Linked DNA regions of Rattus norvegicus. The protein of the gene in region 1 interacts with the protein of each later gene in a biochemical or structural test. Links are inferred from orthologs where the notes say so. Each region holds a gene or a part of one and is shown on either strand. Other genes may lie near its edges.

Region 1 (5,618 bases):
ACCTGTCCCCGCACATTTCCTCAGAGGTTTCTGGAAATTGCGTTGAAGATGGGAGACCTCTTGCTAAAGTGTAGAAGTCATACCAGTGCTGGCTGTTCTCACTGAGCCTTTGAGTGCCCCTGTCCTCAAAGAGTTGTGAAGAATCCTCTTTACCAAGCTTAATAGTTTAAACCTATAGTCCCAGCAGTGGAAAGGTTGAATCAGGAGGCTCATTGTGAGTTCAAGGCTAGCCTTGGCTACAGAGTGGGACCCTGTCTCAAACAACAACAAAAGGGAGACCTCCTTTGACATCAGGCTAATCTAGGGTCCCAGGGGCTTTGCTTTCAATTTGTCATAGCTGCTGTCCTTCCCTGAGCAGGGCTCCCTTGTCTCTCTCCTGTGCCTGGGGCAGGTAAGAGTGTGCCAGGACAGGGCTAGCCAGCCCTTCTGGTTGTTCTCAGCGTGGGTGGGTGGAGCTCCGTCTGGGAGGGGCTGCTACCCCCGGCTTTCTGGGCTCCCTTGTGTCTGCCTCTGACTGTCCTTGGTAGAGCCTCTGGTCTTTCCTTCTCCTCTTGAGAGACCTCGTTGATCTGGATGCAGCTGGGGGAGGGGCAGTAGATAGGTGATGTTTTCCAGCACCAAGCCCCCGGATTGCACAGGTCTCCTGCCTTTCCTTCTAGAATCTGTCGTGACTCCTTGCTCTAGACTCCTCCCACTTCAGTTCCTAGTCTACCACTGGGAAACAAACCCCAAACCCCAGGGTCATCTGCATCTCACTAGGCTTGGAAAAGCTTGTTTCTACCACCACCCTGGTGTGTGTTTTCCCACCTGAGGGAGGAGGCAGAAGCTTGGAAGATGGGTTTCTGGAGTCACAGCCTCCATGTCCTTGGTTGGACTGCTTCTCCCAGGCTCCTGACAGGAGGGTGAGGTCATCCAGTCCAGAGAGAGGACAGGTGTCCCTGGCTCCGTGCCTGGAGTGGGGGGCAAGGAGGGGGCAGGAGGGGTCCAAAATAGTAACTGTGACGTCAGGAGAGGGGAGGAGGCTATAGACCCAGGAATAACCAGTCTATTAAAAGGCTCCAGTGAGGTCAGGGGGCCAAGTGGGATCTCTTTATCAGTGGGAGGCACAACTCGGGAAGAAGGGGGAGGTCAACAGTGCGTGGTGCTGGCAGTGGCATCAATTTTGATGGTTCGGTGGCCCCATGGCCCAGGAAGGTGGAGAGCTGGGGCTACTCCACCAGGCCAGGGTGCTAACAGCTTCATGACTAGCTGGAGGGCCTCCAACCCCAAGTCTTTCTACTTGGGCACTGGAGGTCCTGTCCCTGGGACAGATGTATATTCTGCCCATGAGTTATGGTGGTCAGTGCTTCAGACTTCTAGTCCCAACCAATCCCGTGAGCAGCTCTATGACAAGAGTAACTTTCGTCTTCCTGTAACTCAGCTTCCCCATCTTGGCCTCTTTCTGGTGGTCATTGTTAGCATAAAGGCAATGATGTTTGCGGTTTGTGGTGCTCTCAGCTGGGTACATTGCCAGGAAAGCGTTGATTGAGCTGAGAATGGGCTGGTGCTGACCAGTCCCCTGCCTGGGCTGGGCAAAGCCTACCCAGAAAAATCTCTCTGCTCCCTGAAAAGAGGCGGAGTGCCAGAGGTGGTACTAGAATGGGTGGGAGAGCTGCCACCCCACTGCTATTTAGGGTCTCCCTGATAGTAAGACTGTAGGGAGGCATCTCCCGGCTCTGTGGGAAGGCAGAAGTTACACAAACTCCACAGGCTGTAAGGAGGAGGTGTGAGGTTAGACCAGGTGGTTGGGTGTCTGTCACCTCTTCCTAGTCTTTCTGATTCCTTTCCTCTGCACAGAAAGGGGGAAGATAGAAGATCCAGGCTGGCTGCTTGCTGTCCAGTTCATTGTTTGCCCCCAGCAGCAGTGGCCAAAGCTGATCCCAGAAGCATGGGTCCTCTCCTGCACCTTTCTCTAGTTCAGCCACTGGCCACCCAGGTCTGTGGCCTTGGCCCTGAGTGCAGGCCTCCCTTGCCCCCCTCCCCCTTGACTGGCGCTTCCTCCTGGGGTGGAACGCGCCTCCCCCCATGGGGCCTCCGCCAGGCCTGGGCTCCTGGCAGCCAGCCGGCGGCTCCCTGAGCATGCTCCACCTATTTATAGACAGGGCCCTCCCCCAACTGCTATTTCAGTCTCCTGCCAGCTGCCGGCGGCTCATTCGGGGAGGAGGAGCAGGGAGCCAAGCCCAGAGCTGTCACCGGTGGCTCTGGGAGGGAACACTGAGAGAGTCTGCCTGCCCACTGAGCTCCCCTTCCTGTCCCTTGAGCACCCAGCCATAGCCCAACTCCTGGAACCTTTAGACGGACCTCGGTCCATGCTCCCGTAGTGGAGAACAGGCCTGCAGCCTCTTCAGCCTCCCTGCGCCTGCTGCCTCGGGAGCGCCCAGGCCGGATGAGGTGCCTCCTTGCCTTGTGGGTCCCAGCGGCAGTGGCCTGAGGGAGTCCTTGAGCAGCCGGCTGGCCCTGCTGACCACCTTTCCCTCACCGGCTTCCGCCTCGGGCGGCCCCTCCCTGGCATGCTGCTGGTGCCCAAGGCACAGGGGCTTGTGGAGATGCTGCAGACCATCTATGAGACCGAGTCCTGTTTCTCAGCAGATGGCATGTCAGGCCGGGAACCATCCTTGGAAATCTTGCCACGGACTCCTCTGCACAGCATCCCTGTGGCAGGTAAGTGGCTCTGTGTCCCCACCTGCCCTCAGCTCTTGGGCATCCTCGCACCTGGTTTGAGCACCCCACTGTGAGTGTTGCTCCCTCGGGGTTCTGCTTCAGCCTTTGAGGGTTTTGTTGAGCATCCATGGATTGGAAGAACTGAGCGGCTAGAGCAGTTTTCCTTCCCTCCTTGCCCAGGGCCATCCTCTCACGCTGCCTCCTAGCCACTGTCTCTCCAGTGCCTCTGCCTTCAGCAGGGTCAGCCTCAGCTGCTAGGGGCTAGGGCTTCCTAGAGAATTCTGGCCTAGTTGGACCATGGTCAGAGGGGAGGAAGTGGGTCAGTGACCGATCTCCAGGCTGCCTTGCTCTCCCCACCATTGAGCAGAGGAAGAAGTTGTACCTGGAGTACCTACAGGAATCAGAAGCCAAGCTTCTGTGGCTTGGTTTGACCTGGTCAGAGTGTAGTGACTTTGGCAAGTTTCTGGTCTGGAGGCTTCTTAAGAATGGACACTTAGGAAGAGGCTTGTTGGGATAGGGTTGAGCAGAGGCTAGCAGCTGGGGTGTTTGAGGGTTTTGGCTTAGTTCCTAGTCTAGTTCCCTCCTATCTCTTCCTTCCCGGGGCTGTGGCTTCTTCCCACTTTCTGAGGATAAGGAAGTGTTTCTTTGACCACAGGTGGGCTTGAGGACCTCCCTTGTAACCTAAGCATGAGGATTCCTTGCCCTGCCACCTTCTCTGGGGAAACTTTTTTGATCCTTGGTAGGGGGTGGGGTCCCCCCAAAGCTGGCCACTCCTTCGCTCACTCCCAGAAACCTGTTGCCACCAGGCGGGCAAGATGCTTCCTCCAGGGAGGGACTTGCTGGACCCATGCCTGCTTGGCCCCTCCTGGCAGTGGCTGGCTTGGTGAGAGAGAGAGAGAGAGAGAGAGAGAGAGAGAGAGAGAGAGAGAGAGAGAATGAGAATGAATATATATGTGTATGTGTGGATCTGAAGGTTTCAATTAGAAGGTGGGAGCTCTGTTTCTCTCTGGTGGGTACCTGTGATTTGGCTCTCAGCTGTCCAGGGATAAGACTTCAGTAGACTGGGCTGTGTCGGAAGGATGTTTTGGGAAGGTTTGGAAAATCCTTGGAATGTGATTTGCTGTCAGCTTGGACATAGATAGGGATGCCCGTCCATTCAGTGTCCTAGTATAGGGCATAGTCATGGAGACCAGCTCTGCAGTGTGCCTACCAAGTCCCCGGGATGGAGCCCAAGAGGCTGGTGCTTGTTCAGGACTAATGGAACTACAGCTCTGTCCTCAACCCCCAAACCTGGGCCTCTGCATGTTCATGGGAACTCCTGGGAGGTTAAGGGATGTAGAGCATCACCTAGGGTGGCTTCTAGCTGGTCACCCATTCTGCAGTGAGCTACCAGTTGGCCCCAAGTTCCTGCTGATTTCGTCTTCTTTGCTTTGGACACCAGAATCCCTGAAAGTTTGGGACCACATTCTTCTATCCCTGGATATATATACCCCAGCCAATCCCTCTCTCTAGATCTCCACCCCCCAGCCCCCCCTCCAACCTGGCCTTCAGAGTGTGGTGCAGTCCCTGCTGGCAGGAGGGAGGTGTGAGTCACCCCAGCAGCTCGGGGAGAGGGCTAAGAATGTTCCCCTGAGCAGTTCTGATGCTGTGTCTGTGACGCGGCTGGGGACAGATATAGGCCTGGAGCTTGGCTGCTTTTTTTTTTTTTTTTTTTTTTGGACTCTGGAATGTAAATAGTCGTTTCAAATAGAAACACTTTAACCTTTGGGTTAAAAAAAAAATCCTCCCTAGATAAACATGGCCGTGAGGGCCCAGAAGCCTGGTGTTTCCCTTCAGTCCCTTTTCCCCTCATGCACCCTCTCCTTCCAATTTCTTGAGCAGTCTCGGGACAAGGCACAGAAGCCTACAGCCAAAAAAGCCCGTTTCCAGGGGTGTGTTCTCGGATGACGTTGCTGGTGTCCCCCACCCAAGGGATTGGAGAAGGGGCCTTCTGAGATGCTAGCTCTCTGTCCCTTAAAGCAGCAAGTGCTGGGAACTCTTATTTGGGGGCAGCTTTTGTTTCCTCTGCTGTGTTGTTGGGTGCTCATTACCCCCCCCCATACACACACACCTAGCGCAGTGGGTGGTACTTAGATGAATGAGTGTTGGATGAGGGGGTGGAGGCCCAGCCCTCTGGCAGGATGCCTGGGTGCTATTTTGGGGCTTGACCTGGTGGCTGGATAGAGACAGCTACAGTGGGCACCTAAGGGTAAGAGAGCTCAAGAGGGGCAGAAACACTCACTTAGCTCTTCTTGATTAAGGAAGGGGAAAGGGACCAATTTTCCTCCCATTGCGTGTGACTGGCTGTGTCTCTGTCTGGCTACCCCGTCACTGCCCAGTGTGCAGTGAGCACCTTCGTATACTAGGCTCGGTCCTAGCTTAAGGCTCCTGGGACCTTTGATTCCACTGTGAGATTCCCGATGACCCTGAGCGGGGCTCCGACTTCCCCTTGTCCATTTCTGCTTGAGCTGAGCCCTTGGATACTGTGAACTGTGAAAAGGAATGGCAGAAGAGGCTTCCCTACCAGCTGAGGGAGGTACGGATCTGGTTTGTGCCAGGAAGGAATGCTCTGGATGTTGGGAAGTCCCATGAGGTTCAGGTTTGCAACCGGGGCTTTCCCTGGCTGTTCCTATTTAGGTTCGTGAGGCCATTCCAAGCATGGCTGTGTGTCAGGAATGTGTAGGTGTGGGGATGCCAGGAAGGTAGGAAGGGCAGGACTTGAGTGGAACTAATATTGTAATCCACGAGGCGACAAGGATACTCGGGACTTTCCTTACTGGTCCCTTTTAGGAAGGATGTTACCCACATCCCATAGTGGAGAAGGGTTAGAGACATGAAAGACTTTACCCAGAGCACAGATTAAGTAGCAGCTAAGCTTT
Region 2 (4,965 bases), on another chromosome or scaffold:
GTGAGAAAATTAAGTACTTTTAATACCACACACATACGAATAAGTTATATTCCGTATTTTAACTTACCTAGTTAGTCTAAAACTTAAAATATTATCAATTCTTAAATAATTAGAAAAATTAATTTGAAGTACACCATTTATGCAGGCCAGTAAGTTTCTTAAGTTCAAAAAAAATTAAAAAAAAAATAAAGGAAAAAACTTACCAAAAATTTCTCCGTTTTTGGCATACTCTGTCACAAGGTACAACATACTTTTGGTCTCCATCACCTATTGATAAAAGATCCCACATTAGTCAGGCAGGAAGGACTACTTTACCATACTATAGAGCTGCACAAATTAAAATTATAAGCGAAAGAGTAAGTTGTGAAGAGTTGAGAAGTCAGAACCATTTACAGGCTTCAGTATATACTCATGCCATTCTTTTGGTAGATATTAGAATCTTGTTCTAAGTGTGAGTCCATGGTCCAGAAGTAGCAGCTGCTAGTCCCTGCTAGAAATGCAGAGTTTCAGGCCTGACTGAAGTACTACTGAATTAGAACTGACATTTTAACAAAAGTGATTCGTGTGCACATCAAGTGTAAGGAGGGGAATAAGAACTTCTGCAGATTTTCCCACTGCCTCGTCACTTCAGTCTGCGTGCTGTGTTATCCAGGCTGTAGTCGAGCTGAGCCAGTACAACCTGATATCCATGTTCTTCTCTACTGTTCTCTATCTAATAGTTACAAGTTACTGTAATCTTATTTATTTTTTAATGATTTATATATTTTTATTTTATGTGGATTGCTGATTGCCTTGCATGTATGTTTGTGTGAGGGGTCCTTTGGAACTGGAGTTGCAGACAGTTGTGAACTGCCAAGTGGTTGCTGGGAATTGAACCTGGGTTCTGTGGAAGGGCAGCCAATGCTCTTAACCACTGAGCCATCTCTCCAGCTTCCTGAAATTATAAAGCTGTTTATTCATAAATCTACTGTTTTCATTTAAATTAGCTTCTCTAGGTTCAAAAAGAAAGTATATCATTGTTAGCAATTTGAATTTTAGAACTATAGGAATAGACACCTAACTTAGATTCAAGATAAGCAATGTTTAGTAACCGTTGTAAGTGGCACAACATACACATTCTTACACACTTTGGAGGTTTATCATAAGTTGATGGTTTCCAAGTTTTTAAGTTGAAATTGTCAAACAATAGCATTGTTTATAATTATATACATGTACATGTGTATATAAGTATATGTACATGTGTATGTATACATAGAGAAAGAGGGAGAAGAAGAGACAGAGAACAAACTATGTATGTGTGCCCTGTATAAAATGCACTCGAGGACATAATAAACAAAACTAAGTTTTAAAACCTTTTCTTACAATCCCAATACGTTTGGGTAGCCCACCTGAGTGCAGTGGTGTGACAGCCAAAACTGGCCTTCTGAGCAGGGATCTGAGCTTTGATGCCATTCCTACGACATTATACACTCGCTGAGACTGCGTTCCTAATGTGATGTCCATCAGCTCACAGAGCTTCTGAAAACAGACTGAGTACAGCATACATGGCTGCACCTATCACAGGGCGTCAAAGCCACAGGTCCGGCTACCAGGACCTTCCAGTTTAAAAAGTCATTTTCGATCGAAATATATGGTACATTAATCAACAGAAACTTTTAAAGATAGTTTGTTGATTATTAAATATGAAATACTACTTTAAAAATCTGAGAAAACATTCCTTTTAAAACATATAGCTTAAACTCAGACACAGTTTACAAAATTTCTTAATAAAACTGATTTTTAAAAAAAATTTACTTTTATGACTCATCAAAACAATAAGAAAAGTTATGACTCTAGGTATTACAAAGTTTGCCTCTATGTAATATACTATTTTAGCCTTTTTATTTCATAAAACATAAACATAATCTTTTCAAATAAACCATGTGTACGACATCCTTATTTATGATGCAACTACCTTTGCAAACCAGGCAAGTTTAGGTATAACTGCCAAATTTTAAAATAGCTAGCTCATAGTCTAAAAGACAACTTTTATATTATTAGTTATATTACCAAGTAGTGTCCTAGTTCCATTTTTACAAATTTAAATATATAGAAAGGGATAGACTTAGCATCAGAAACCTTTTTAAAGTACACTAGGAAACCTAGCACACAAGTAAAATCACAAGACCAGGCATTTGGATGTGGAAAGCATAAGGAGAGACAGGGGTAAGCCGTACCTGATACAGTTTAATTATGTGAGGATGGTCGAGCATTTTCATTATTTGTACTTCTCGGTAGATTTTCTCAAGGTTTACTGCATCCAGTTGAGATTTGTCTATTATTTTTATAGCCACCTGCAGTCCAGAAGACACATAAATACAATTAATATATAACACTCAATAGTCTCCAGGTAAGATCATCAAGGAATCTCTGCCGAGCCTGATGGACTATCTGCCAAGAATGTCTCAGAAGTGCAGTAATAAGGACAGTAACTTTGCCAACTGCATAACACTTCCTAACTTTACAAGATACTTAAATGCATTTTATCTCATGTATCATTCAATTTTGTCAAATAACTGGAAGAAGCAGTTCTAGGAGCTGATAAAACAGAGATCGAAAAGGTATTACATATTAGCGCATATTAGCCTGCATGAGGCCCTCTGTCCAAATCACCAAGCCCTTCTTAGCTCCAGCCCCCAAAAGAAAGACTAATCAGCAGGCTCTAAAGCTCCAGCAAATTAAGGTGGCTGAGGGGACAGATGGACAAATACGACCTCAATTCTTCCGTTCTAAAATCAACTTCCTTTAAATGTTTAAAGTTCACTCACCATACATGTACTGTATGCCAAATACTATAACTAGGATACAGAAACAAATCAAATGGGATTCCTCTTTTTAGAGAACTTACCATGTTTGTAAGGGTGAGATGATTAAAACTGGTTTTAAGAAAGTGTTGGAATTTCTCAAAAGCATACTGAAAGTCCCCAAATTACAAAATGCTGTTTGAGTTAAAGGTAGGTATAAATTTAGTTTTTCTGCATAACTTTTACTTGTTAATAGTTCTAAACCTAGAACAAAAATCTGCATGATCAAGAGGCCAAGAAGGCCAAAACTGATTCTGTTAATCGAAGGACCTCTTTTATGTTAACTGAATCATTCAACTGTCTAACTCTTGATTATACACATGCTCTCTTAAAAATAATACTCCTTCCACTAAGGAGGAAAAGCAAAACTTCCTCTCTAATGTAGGAGAGGAACATACCAGATAAATCAGAAAGACTGCTATCACTCAAAACCCTATATAAAGGAGCTAACCCCTCAACCACACATTCAAACAATGTGAATTTAAAACGAACAAAAACATGTCATTTTCACTTTTATATTAGCAAAGATTGAAAAGTAGATACCCACATGAACCTTCTTGGCCTCTTGATCATGCAGACAATATTTCGTAGAAATTCTATATGAATATAAATAAGGCATAATTTTTCTAGAAAGCAATTTAACAGCTTTTATAAAGGACCTTAAAAAAATCACATATTCCATTAAATTTGAAGACTCTGATGCTGAAAAAGAACCTGACAGGAACAGTCTGAATTAGTGACAAGGATTTCTATATAAATAAATTAAATGTATCACTTAAAAATGAAAATATAAGCAGTTGAGAATAATTTCATGACCATTAGAGAAGTAGTGCAAAGTAACTCCTCACTTTAAAACATTTGAACAGCAAAAAACAAGGCAATTAAAAGAGAAGCAAAGTCACAAAAAGCAATTTACAAGAAAAATGCAAGTAGCTATCATGTAATACTACAGTCACGAAGACATACAAATGAAGAAATGTTGTCCATTGAGGAGGGAGAACCCTATAGAGTAGTACTCCTCAAAGTGTTTCTCCTAACAGGAGTTATGGGTACTGTTTTTGCAGAGGAGACTGTGTCCTTGAGAGAGGTAATGGATGGACTCTTCACCTAAGAATTCCACCACATTGAAACTGCTCTGAGGAAACAATCGGGTATGCAAATGTACGCAAAAGAATATCCTCTGGAACACTCAGAGTACTGCAAGAGAGAAAGCTGAACTTTACGCTTAGAAAAGCAAATGAGTTAAATACAATGTGGTAGTGACATGCAAGATGTCTCCAAATGATGTTCTGAACCTGTGGGTTGTGACCTCTTGGAGACTGAATGATCCTTTCTCAGGGTCACCTATCAGATGCCCTGCATATCACATTTACATTACAATGCAATATAGCAAAATTACAATTGTGAAGTAGAAACAAAAACAATTTTATGTTGGGGGTATCCACTGTATTAAAAGACTGCAGCATTATGAAAGTTGAAAACCACTGCCTTACACACAGTGCGCTTGCGCTCTCTCGCGCACTTACTCTCTCTCTCTCTCTCTCTCTCTCTGCATTTGTTTCAAGTTTTGCTTTATACTGAATAAAGCTGCTATATACAAATGACACATTCCATTTATGGACATATGCATTAATTTCTTTAGGGTAAATGCAGATGATTAAAGGCTGACTCTTGTTGTATGTGATACGATTTAAAGCTTAAAAAAAAATCTCCCAAACTATTTCCAAAAGTTTCCCTTATTTTCTATTTGTTAGCAATTGCTAAAGAAGCGTTTTGTTTTCCTACACCTCATCAATCTTGGTTTGGACCATCTTTACCATTACAGTGGATGTTTTTAGACAGTGTTTTTTTTTAAGACTTGGAACTGTTTGTTACTAACAAGTGAAATACAAGAACATAGGTTATATGTACAGTGATATCAATTTTATTTCAAACATACCAAATACAAGTGAATTAGGAGGCTCTGCACCACCATCTCCTAAGTTTTGAGAGTAGAGGTATGAATGCCTAGTTTCTTCTCCAAGCTTTTTCCCAATGGCTATAATGAGTAGGCCTGAGTCCTGTAACTGGGTGAAACTGGATATTCTGAACTTTCAAGAACTGAAAACATAAAAGGATTGTC
Region 3 (4,965 bases), on another chromosome or scaffold:
CTCCTGAAAGTAAAACTCCTTCTTCATTCATCAGAGCCGGTCATCCATTTAAAGGGAGCCACATACTCCTTTCCTCAGCTATGAAAAGGCTCTTGAGAATGAGAAGTTCTTCCAGGCTTCCCTGAAGCGTGCAGAGCATTTATGTTGTGGATGTATTCCACTATATCCTTACAGAGAGACTTGATCAGCTCTCCCGCAAAACCAGATCAGGAACACACACACACACACACACACACACACACACACACACACACACACATATACAGAGAGAGAGAGAGAGAGAGAGAGAGAGAGAGAGAGAGAGAGAGAGAGAGAGAAACAGACAAGACAGATATGCAATTCAGGAATTGGCATTCTTTCACTCAGGGACAGTAAGACATGATCTCATTTTGTTTTAGAGCAAAGAAAGGAGTTAAATCATTTATTCCTCAGATAGGAAAAGACCAACAGCTCCTTCAAGGCCCTCTGAACTGGGTATCCTATCTCCTAAAGCAAGAGGGTGGTGGCAAGGATAGGCCAGGACTGGGCAACTAAGCCCGCCTACGTGACTCACATATACTCTGTCTTTCACTCCATCGTGTGAACTGGCTGGGCAGGGCTATCTCATGCTCAAATACTCATTGTCTTCCCTAGAGAACATTACGGTCACAGTGAGACCTCCTGTGTCTGCTATGGAGGTGGGATGTGTTCCTCACTGTATCCTCTGGAGCCTTGAGCTGACCCTCACTGCTGTTCTAGGATGGATTGGGGGAAATCGTGGGATTGTAATAGTTAGGCCAGTTTTTCTCAAAATGCAATTTGCAACTCCCCACCTCCACTATCAGAATCCCCTGGGAATACTCACTAGTGGTGTTGAGAGCTAGAGCCCACCCCGAACCACAGAACCAAAGATTCCGAGGGTAAACCTCAAGAGTACGCTTTTCTTTTAATGAATATTTTCTGTGCTGTGTGTGGAAAGATTGGGAACAGATGTCTACAGGTGGAGGGGTGGGTGGTAGATTGGGAAAACTGACAACATTTAAATGTTCTATGGGAGCCCTTCTGTGTCTAACTTCAAGCAGAGAATGGCTGAGAATGCTTCAACCTGAAACATCCTCCCCCCTGCACACAAACACCATGTATTTTTGGAGGTGAAGCCCAGATATAAGGTCCAGAGATGCTCCCACCCATCCCCTGGACCAGCCTACCTGTATGTGAGCGAAGGTGGCGCTTGAGAGCCGTGTGGCTGGGGAAGGTGCGGTTGCACTCGCTGCAGATATAGCTGCGCACGCCTGCGTGGACCTCCATGTGTTGCTGGAGTGCACTCTGTGCCTGAAAGCGCTTCCCACACAGCAGACAGAAGACAGCCATGTCCGTGCCTGGAGGAGACAGCAATGGGAGAGCTTCAGCAACTTAGAGACCCAAGGCCAGATCTTCATCCCTGAAGGCTGGGGCAAGACCCAGAGCCGCCCCTAGAAACCCTAAACCCCACACTCTAAGTCAAACTGCCTTGGGCAACCCAGGCCACGTGACGTTGACGGAGCACCCTGAACGTAGCTTAGAGGAAAGGTGCCAATGGTGCCCTGCCTCCATGAGACCTAAAGGCTTGGAGAGAAGCATAGAAAACCACGTGGATGGTAACACAGATGTGTCTCTGCAAGGGTCTGAGTGCAATGCAGGAGAAGCTGGCGGACTAAAGGTGTGACCACGGGGACTTACAGAGTCTGAGGCAGCAGTGGAAAGACAGGTTAGACTCTAGGTGAACCAACAATAACCTGGATCAGATGGGTTGGCCATTGTTATGACATAACTCACCTAAAACCACAAACCTCATATAAGGAGAGAGAAGCACAGGGAGATTAACCCACACCAATTTCCATAGGGTTCCCAGTTGGGAGCAGCAAAGGGATCTATTCACTTATTCCCTAGGGTTACCTGTAGACCACTGTCCTCCCCTCCCCTCTCCCTACCCCTGAGACAGAATTTCTTTGTGTAGTCCTGGCTGTCCTGCAACTCTATCTGTAGACCAGGGCTGGCCTTTTACTCAAAGATCTGCCTGCTTCTGCATCCTGAGCGCTGCAGTTCAAGTACGGCGTGCTGCCACTGCCGTCTCCCCCACCAACCCCACCGCCCACCACCGCTGCCACCAGTGACCACGTTCTTACAACCACTTTCCCATTTAGGAAATCAGGCATCTTGAGAGCCACTTCATAAATAGTACTGTTGATACTTCCTACAAGGAAGACTCTCTGGGGTTCTGGAGATGAAACAATGGAAGAGTGTACTAGTCCCTGCTCTGATCTCAACACCACCCAGCACACAGTGCACCAAGTCTTTGAACACTCAGGGAGAGCCACACCAGGTTGAGTACGATGTCCAGTCCTAACTTTAGAAGCAGGGAGGATGTGAAAGGAAGAGCTGGGAGCCAGATCATGTGGGTCCTGCCCAGCCATACTGCAAGCCCTGGGGTTCATCCTAAGACCAATGGGAAGCTGTTGAAGGATTTCAAACTAGTGAGTCATATGAAATATTCATTCAGTTCTACCTAGTCACATGCTTGGCTGGCCCAGTAGCCTAGGTGCCCTACTGAAGCCCACGAAGGCAGGCTGCTATTTTCCACTCCTCAAAACCTTCCTGACACAGTCTTCCAGCTGAGTCTCAGTTCATAGCTCCTTGCCTGCCATTTTGGAGTCCATGTCTCTAAGAACATTAGCTCCCAACACAAGCCCATCTGCTTTTCTCTCTGCCCATATTTGGATGGCATGGTCTGTGCTCAGTCCCACAGTGCTGTCTCCTAGGTGAGGGACACTAACAAAAAAGGTAGTCAGGTCAGATCTGCCAGTCTAGTCCAAAGAGGAAAGGGCACGAGAGCATTTGGGCTGCTGAAAGTCTTGGGCTGCTCAGGGTGGCATGAGAAGCTCCCGGGGACAGGTAAGGGAGGAAGGAAAGGGACAGGAAGAGCTTTGCTGCCTCCCTGACTAGCAATGGCAACAGCAAGTGGGAGGGCTGGGTCTTGCTTCCTCAGGACCACACACGGCTCAGTCTAGACCAACACCATCCTCTCTCTTCTCTCTTCTCACATTTAACCACTGGCTCCTGTCTTTGCAGACACCGAAACTACCTGCAGCCATGCTTGTCTACCAACAGCCAGGAGGGCTGCATGGCAGAAGAACCGTCCACCTCCTCAAAGGTGTGTGTGTGTGGGCAGGGGGACAGGGACTAAAGACCACCATTTCAGCTAGGTCTTTATCTGTGCTGTCACCACATTTAAAACATGCATCCCTACCAGACAGGCATCCTTCCCACCTTCTTCCAAAGAGGAAAATAGAGATTAAATAACTTGCCTAAGGTCACACAGTGAGAAAGAGGCAGAGCAGGGAATCTAGAAAATGCCTTGGTCCGTTTGATTCTAGAAAACACCAATTGAATCCCATTTATCTATTTATCTTTAGGTTTTAGTCTGTGTAGCCGTGTACCTTTGTATGGTATACGGGTGTGACGGGGTGTTTGGAGGCCAGAGGTTAACATCAGGATGGCTCTCCATCTATTTTTTTTATCTGTATATATATATTTATATTTATATAAAAAGACCAATAATAGCAGTGTGTTATGCATCAACAGCAGCAACAGCTTTTCCAGGTTCTGCAGTCATCTGAACAAAACTGTAGAGACATCCAGCACACTCCATTAAAAAAAAAAAAAGTAAAAAAACAAAACCCGAGAAAACAGCACAGTTCTGTTACTCTTGTGGTACCTGGCACCATTTTTTTTTAAATTAGCTTCTCAATCATCATCTGGAAAGAAAACTTTCTGAGCAACATCATTAAAAACAGCTCTGATAAAGCACGGTCACTACTACGTATCATAAAGCAGGTACGAGCTATTTTACATCCACAGAGGTATGATACAGTACTGTCCTACATCTATAATACTAGAGGATACAATTTAAAAGGCATTATTTGAGACTTGATTCTACTTCTCCAGCAGAGGGCCCAAAGGATGGTGTGACACAGCTTTGTAAAGAAACATACTCTAGACAGGATTTCCTTTCACTAGTGGCACACTTCTAAGGATTCATTCTCTCCATGAATGTCAGCTAAAACCGTTATTAAAAAATGAAATATCCCTAGAACAAAACTGTATAACCACCGGATTCCCATGAAGATGACCTAGTGGAGACAAGCTGGACCTCACCTTACCAACAAGCTATCAAATCTGTTATGTTTAAACAGTGAGACCTCCAAGGAAGGAGATGCCAAGTAGTGCTTCAAAGCTTCGGACCACAATCAAACACAGCATCCTTTTCAACAGAAGCAGAAGCTCATCTGAATATGCTCATGGATGCTGACATCAACATTTAATCATCTCCTCACTCATCCAGGAAGAGGGGGAGATCAGTTACTACTGTACTTTATTGTGTTCAACCAAATTACCATGTTACAAAAATAGCAAGCTGCCATAATAAAAAATAAGGCTCCTCTATCCAGCACCAAATAGCATCATTTTACTTTCAAGCCTAGAAATTGCACACTTGTATATAAACCAATCGAAGATGAGGATTGAGAGTTCATCTTGGTGGATTTTTCCTTTGATGAATATGAAGTGTCCTTCCTTATCTTTTTTGATGACTTTTAATTGAAAATTGATTTTATTTGATATTAGAATGGCTACTCCAGCTTGCTTCTTCTGACCATTTGCTTGGAAAGTTGTTTTCCAGCCTTTCACTCTGAGGTAGTGTCTGTCTTTGTCTCTGAGGTGTGTTTCCTGTAGGCAGCAGAATGCAGGGTCCTCATTGCGTATCCAGTTTGTTAATCTATGTCTTTTTATTGGGGAGTTGAGGCCATTGATGTTGAGAGATATTAAGGAATAGTGATTATTGCTTCCTGTTATATTCATATTTGGATGTGAGGTTATGTTTGTGTGCTTTCATTCTCTTTGTTTTGTTGCCAAGACGATTAGTTTCTTGCTTCTTCTAGGGTATAGCTT

What was found.
Region 2: of the proteins of Hdac5 (region 1) and Sik2, one has a biochemical effect on the other in vitro, tested with the Homo sapiens proteins (2 studies listed by BioGRID). The link is inferred for Rattus norvegicus from reciprocal best matches to the Homo sapiens genes HDAC5 and SIK2.
Region 3: the proteins of Hdac5 (region 1) and Zbtb16 form a complex in vitro, tested with the Homo sapiens proteins (2 studies listed by BioGRID). The link is inferred for Rattus norvegicus from reciprocal best matches to the Homo sapiens genes HDAC5 and ZBTB16.

What each region holds. Positions count from the first base shown.
Region 1 is NC_086028.1:87,672,964-87,678,581, reverse strand, and holds the start of Hdac5 (histone deacetylase 5), read left to right. Parts: upstream 1-2,012; 5' UTR 2,013-2,549; coding exon 2,550-2,700; intron 2,701-5,618. UniProt on the Homo sapiens protein: Responsible for the deacetylation of lysine residues on the N-terminal part of the core histones (H2A, H2B, H3 and H4).
Region 2 is NC_086026.1:60,210,866-60,215,830, forward strand, and holds part of Sik2 (salt-inducible kinase 2), read right to left. Parts: intron 4,944-4,965; exon of another isoform or gene 4,819-4,943; coding exon of another isoform or gene 4,783-4,818; intron 2,334-4,782; coding exon 2,217-2,333; intron 268-2,216; coding exon 204-267; intron 1-203. UniProt on the Homo sapiens protein: Serine/threonine-protein kinase that plays a role in many biological processes such as fatty acid oxidation, autophagy, immune response or glucose metabolism.
Region 3 is NC_086026.1:57,898,223-57,903,187, forward strand, and holds part of Zbtb16 (zinc finger and BTB domain-containing protein 16), read right to left. Parts: intron 1,359-4,965; coding exon 1,188-1,358; intron 1-1,187. UniProt on the Homo sapiens protein: Acts as a transcriptional repressor. Transcriptional repression may be mediated through recruitment of histone deacetylases to target promoters. May play a role in myeloid maturation and in the development and/or maintenance of other differentiated tissues.